Saccharomyces cerevisiae S288C: one gene and its partner. The gene in region 1 interacts genetically with each later gene. Each region holds a gene or a part of one and is shown on either strand. Other genes may lie near its edges.

Region 1 (2,952 bases):
TGGCCACAAAGAAATTTACCGAAGTACACACACCAAAACTGTTGGGTGCACCAAGTGAAGGTGGTTCCAGTGTGTTTGAGGTGACATACTTCAAAGGGAAGGCCTACCTAGCTCAATCTCCACAATTTAACAAGCAACAATTGATTGTGGCCGACTTTGAAAGAGTTTACGAAATCGGGCCTGTGTTCAGGGCTGAAAACTCCAACACCCACCGTCACATGACCGAGTTTACTGGTTTGGACATGGAAATGGCTTTCGAAGAACATTACCACGAAGTTTTGGACACGTTGAGTGAGTTGTTTGTGTTTATTTTCAGTGAATTGCCCAAGAGATTTGCTCATGAAATTGAGTTGGTACGTAAGCAATACCCTGTTGAAGAATTCAAGTTACCTAAAGATGGTAAGATGGTTCGTCTAACATACAAAGAAGGTATTGAAATGCTAAGAGCTGCCGGTAAGGAAATTGGTGATTTTGAAGACTTGAGTACCGAAAATGAAAAGTTCTTGGGTAAGTTGGTTCGCGACAAATACGACACCGACTTTTACATCCTAGACAAGTTCCCCTTGGAGATCCGTCCCTTCTACACAATGCCCGACCCAGCCAACCCTAAGTATTCTAACTCGTATGATTTCTTCATGAGGGGTGAAGAAATCTTGTCCGGTGCACAACGTATCCACGACCATGCTCTATTACAAGAAAGGATGAAAGCCCATGGTTTGTCTCCTGAGGACCCAGGTCTAAAGGACTACTGTGACGGCTTCAGCTATGGGTGTCCTCCACACGCCGGTGGTGGTATCGGTTTGGAAAGAGTTGTTATGTTCTATTTGGATTTGAAAAATATCAGAAGAGCTTCATTGTTCCCAAGAGATCCAAAGAGATTAAGACCATGAAGGAGTCTCCTCCAACGTTTTTATGTAGCGAGTGAAGGTAAAAAAATTTTCAACATTTCTAATTTTTTCCTGTCACCCACTTTTATTTTAACTGAATTATTATATTTAGCTTTACACATATAAGTCTCAACGTCTGACATATGTCACACTTTCTTTACCGCCAGACCACTTCTAATATTCCGAAAGCAAGGGCTATGAGCAGTCCGACAATTCGGAAACCATAGCTCGCCATAATTTACACGCTCTATGCACATATTAAAATACATTTAAACAGTACTTACAGCGCATCTGGGATGGTTCGGTTATGTACCAGGACAATATTAAGTTGACGCGTCAGTTGAGTAGTAATCGTCCTAGTATTTTCGCCTACCATGCCGCTTTTTGCGTTTTTGACCGCCTCTGGTCCCTTATACAATCCACAGGCAAAAAAAAATTACATAACAAGATTACTCTTCAAGAAACCTGGAAAATATTTTTTTGGGCAGTTTTTTAAGACGATAATAAGTTCTATGCCTCATTTACGCACCAGCGGTTCTATTACCAAGCTGACTCTTATCGGCGATGAGTATGATCTAAGGCTCGGGCCGCCCATTTTGCTGCTCCCGGTCAAGTAGCACGCTCCCTCTTTTCTTATCGCAGGCTTTGCCCACTACCCGATCTCTAAAGCGCCCATTTAACCTTTTTTAAAACAACAGCTTAAAAGCTTTTTGGATAAAAAGCTTTTATTACTACATCTCTGCATCTTCTCTCCGGGGTCTAAGAAAAGGGCTCAAATTCGCGGAGTTGAGAAACGAGAAAATCCAAATAAAGCGAACAAGAGGGAAAAAAATTTTTTCTTCCGTTCTTTCCTTCTTCTATACTTCAAGAAAACAAGCAAACGCACCCACTACACACAAAGTATCTTTTACGAAACATAACACAAGAATCCAATGTCAGGGAACCCAGGAAGCTCGCTGAGCGCATTGAGACCTACTCCACCCGAGAGAGGTTCGTTCCCGCTAGACCACGACGGCGAATGCACCAAGTACATGCAAGAGTATCTCAAATGTATGCAGCTTGTGCAGAACGAAAATGCAATGAATTGTAGACTACTGGCAAAGGACTACCTGCGGTGCAGGATGGACCACCAATTGATGGACTACGATGAATGGTCACATTTAGGTCTTCCTGAGGATGCTCCAGGCAACAACGGTAAAACCATAAAAGACGCCACCGATAATAAATAGCCGCCCACATCGGAATATCGAATAAAAGCTAGACGCTGTTGGTAATATCATACTTTCTACAACAACTGGTAAAGAACTTCTTTTTTTGAAATAGCCGCCGATATGGCGCGAAGTGACCCTGCTCGAGGCTGTGCGGGCCCAGGCCCGTCCGTTTCTTTTTTTTCTAGGGGGCGGCAAACGGGCCAAAGGGGTCAGCGTGATTGGGCGGTTTTCCACAAAGCTTTAGTCTCTCTCCTCACGCCTTGGCTTAGTGAGTGGCCGGAGTTAAAGTTGCGAGGAAACACACAGCGAAGGGAAAAAGCTTTGGCGTGCTTAACGATATGGCTTATGGCCCGGTTGCAATGCTGGTTTAGTTTCCGATTACGATTTTCGATTTGAATCCTGGCTCCACATCTCCCACCCTCTTTTTTTATCTCTAGCATCGTGCGTTGGATTTTATATTATGAAGTTCCTATATTAGAATAAAGTTTAGTATTTACTTCCCAGATCTACCGGATTTACAAAGTATTGTTACCTCACCACCAAGTGAAAGGAAACAGTGCAGTAACTCCTCGTGCTTACGCTAACTAAATAGATATTATATTCACGAAATACTGCGCCAGATAGCAAGCAAACCCAAAAAAAAAAAAGAAAAAGAAAAAGGAAACAAAGTGGGAGACAGAAAAAGAGTGAAAGAAACATAGTATTTACCAAGTCGAAGATTTAGCACAACAAAGACTAATCTACACGCATACTGCTCTTCTTCATTATTGCTTTATCTTCCGCGTACCTTAGTTATGTCACAGAATATTCAAATTGGCACTAGAAAACGTTCAAGAGCAAATATGAATAATTCC
Region 2 (3,515 bases), on another chromosome or scaffold:
AAAGCAGTACCGACCCGATATAATATCTGAAGTTCAAAAAGTAAGAGAAAAGGAAATCAAGTTTTGGGCACAACTCTGCCCCTACTTCACCAGGCGCAGATTAGCAAGTCAATCACATTTACTACATGCAGACAACATTTTTTTCCTTGTGGAAACAGGTATGTTGAAGGCAACATATGAACTACCACAAGGAACCTTGTACGAGATTTTTTCAAATGGCACATGCTTCGGAAAAATCATTGCGCCAGGGAATGCTATGCCTAGAGAACAAAAGCTCACCATCGAAACTGAAACTGATTCCGTATTATGGGTTATAGACTCTAGCTCGTTGAACAAATTGAAAGAAGACAATCTAGCATTGTACGTGGAGGTTGCATTAATGGTCATGTGTATCAAGGACACCAGATTCAAAGAATTACTAGGTTACACACTTGTTAGCGCATGAGAGCGTACACGTATATTTATTTAATTTCTTTTATTGCCGGCGTATTGCAAGTAATTTACACCAGTACTAAATAAAAGCAGGATGCTCCTGCATCTGTATAAGTGATGCCGTTGTAGGATTTTTACCATCTCGACTATAAACTTTTTGTACTTGAGTCTTCACTTCCGGAATTTTACTGCGCGATTTTCTTTGATAGGGCCCCTATCGTAGACGAAAAGTGATAATTCCCATCGATGAGCAACTACATACCTCACTTGACTTAATTGCTCTCCTAAAGAAAAAAAATACCGTTACTTTTTTCATTAATATACTACCACAACAATTCACAACGGGTAGTTGTACGGTTAGTTTATATCCGCATTAACAAATCAAAGTCATAACAACGTATCAACGTAGACTATGCCTGTCCCATCTGTTACTGTCACTACCGATAATGAATATGAAGACATATCGTCCTTTTCTTCTATTGACTCTTACAAACCGGAGCCCTTTACTGGGTTCAAAGATTCTGAAGCTCCAGAACAGCCTCTTTTAAAAAACGATACCATTGTTGGAAAGGGGCAACTGGAAGATGATAGTAATGTAGATGATCAACACCGTCATTCAGATGTGCATTCTCATCACAGTTCTAGTACTTTAAAAAGGCCAACTTCAAATTCGATAGAAAAGATGGTTACCCACAATGCTTTAGAGGGCAACTCAGAAACAGTTGATTCCTTAAAAGAAGATGGTTTAAATTTGAACAAGAAAGCTCTTCCGGATATTACCGCCCCAGTAACAAACTCAGCTCACGATGCTGCATTTCCAGAAGAGTATCGTTTAGAAACTGAAACCGGGTTGGTCAAATTGAAGACGCTTGAAAGTTTGAAGAGGGAGGACTCTCGCGTATCCTCAACTAAAAAAGAGCATATTAACGACCATACAGATATGCATTCGACACGATCCAAGGTTACTACAAATTCTCAAGGTTCTTCTCTAGAACCAAACAAGTTGAACATGGCAGTAGAGAAGAATAAGAAGAGGATCGAAAAATATCAAAAACATAAATCAGAAAAGGGGATCAAGGGGTTTTTTCATAGAATTTTCGATTAAGTGGCATAGCAACATTTAGTTCGCAATGCGTTTACTTCAGAATCATTCTTTTTTTTTTTTTTTTTTTTTTTTTGCCTCACATTATATTCTTGGCATCTGCCTAGCTTTCGACTTTTTCGTTCAATTCCTAAAGCGCTAAAAAAATAGTCTCCCCCTGAAAGTGGAGTAGGATAGTAGTATATGAAGTGAGGCAGAAAAGGAAAGAAACGCTTGCATTTATTAACACACCTGTGGCTAAAGTATTAAAAACCAAAAACTAACGAACAAATAATGTGCATTTTAATGGCCACAAGGGCACATCCTGACTATGAACTCATCTTAATATCTAACAGAGACGAATTCTTGGCAAGAAAAACACATGCTACATGCTGGCATAACAATGATTTTATCCTTTCACCCTACGATCTGGCCAAAACCTCAGCAGAAAAACAAATATTTGGCACTTGGTCTGGCATAAATAAAGAAGGAAAATTAGCCACTATTCTTAATTTAAAACTTGACAATGAGCAAAATAATACGAAATCAAGATCCCGTGGTCTGTTACCATTTATATTTTTGTCGATCCATAAAGCAGATTTTGAAGATTGGGATAATTACAAAAAGTTTGAAGGTCACTATGATGGGTTGAAGTCCACAGGTGATTTTAATTTTTTTTACGGCGACGTTATCAAAAAGCAATATAAAGTTATTGATTCTCTAGGAAGAACTTTTGATGTGTTGAGTTCTACCTGTAGGAAAGATCTTGATTCTTACATGGTTGTTTCTAATGGTAAATTTTATGACAGCTCCAGTATACCAGGGCAGGCTTGGGAAAAAGTAAAGGTAGCACGTGATAGTTTAGAAAATCTAGTTTTAGAGAATATTGAATCAGATGAGGAGAAAATAATATCAAGTTGCTTTCAACTCGCCTCGAAGTCTTCCCTTCCAAGCACTATTTCAAACCCAGATGTCTTGCAGATGGTAGATCCAAATGTAACCATGAATACCATATACGTACCACCTTTACGGAGGCCTCCCAGGGATGACTTAGGTGCCTCAATTCCTGATGGTGATTACTACGGAACTCGCTCTCAAATAGTTTTACTCGTGAGTAAGGATTCAACGAGAGTTACCTTTATAGAAAGGGTCCTTTATAGCTCAGATGAAGACGTGCGCAAGTATTCGGTAACCTCACCTAAGGAGGAAAAAAGGTTTAAATTCAAATTGTAAAAATCACAATCTTCCATTTTATTTCAAACTAGCTTTAAATTCCATCTTCTTCCCCTCAGAACATTCCGGTATCTCTTGTTGGACACATCTAATGTATATGATGTTTTCAAATTCTAAATGCCTGTTAGTTTATCAGTAACCACAGTAGACGCTATATATATTAGTTCCTTTTCTATATAGGTATTATACAATACAATCAAATTCATTGCATACTCAAATGTCCAAGTATTCCATGGTGTAAGTGGGTAAGGCTCGCTTCTGAGAAGTTCCGTTATCAAAGGTTGAGCTAGCAAACCCATGCTGAAAACCTTTCGTATCAATCAAATTCCACAATTCGGTATTTCTTTCAGCAATCTCAACTTGTTTGTCAATATATAAGGTTAAGTTCTCCAATAGAGCACCTTCTAATGAAAATAGCCCGATAGAATCTAGCACAAGGGACAAGAGTTGAAATAGCTGCGTGCTTTGGCTAGGGTTGAAGCATTCTGGTGAGCTGTCTTCACCACCGCTTGTTATGAACTCAATGAAATTTTGAACGTCTAATTTACTTAGTTTCTTCATTTCTTGTTTAATAGAGTCTCTGGTGAAATCCTGCAAAATCCTAAATGAGATATCAAGTAATAGTTCCCTGTTTCTGATAGAAAACAATTCTTCAAGTAGTTCATTTAATGGCAAGTTTGGGCATGTTACAATTGCTTGTTTAAATAATCTAGGTTGGTCTCTTAGTAAGGATAGCAAGTTGCGTGTACGACTCAATGGAAACAATGGG

Evidence for each region.
Region 2: mutations in COX19 (region 1) and YGR127W together harm fitness more than expected from each alone (negative genetic interaction), as found in Saccharomyces cerevisiae (one large-scale study listed by BioGRID).

Annotation. Positions count from the first base shown.
Region 1 is NC_001144.5:107,840-110,791, reverse strand, and holds COX19 (Cox19p), read left to right. Parts: upstream 1-1,819; coding exon 1,820-2,116; downstream 2,117-2,952. Other genes in the region: aspartate--tRNA ligase DPS1, read left to right, coding at 1-890; serine/threonine protein kinase KNS1, read left to right, coding at 2,893-2,952. UniProt on the Saccharomyces cerevisiae protein: Required for the assembly of mitochondrial cytochrome c oxidase.
Region 2 is NC_001139.9:744,991-748,505, forward strand, and holds YGR127W (uncharacterized protein), read left to right. Parts: upstream 1-1,807; coding exon 1,808-2,746; downstream 2,747-3,515. Other genes in the region: VSB1 (Vsb1p), read left to right, coding at 1-445; YGR126W (uncharacterized protein), read left to right, coding at 845-1,537; UTP8 (Utp8p), read right to left, coding at 2,960-3,515.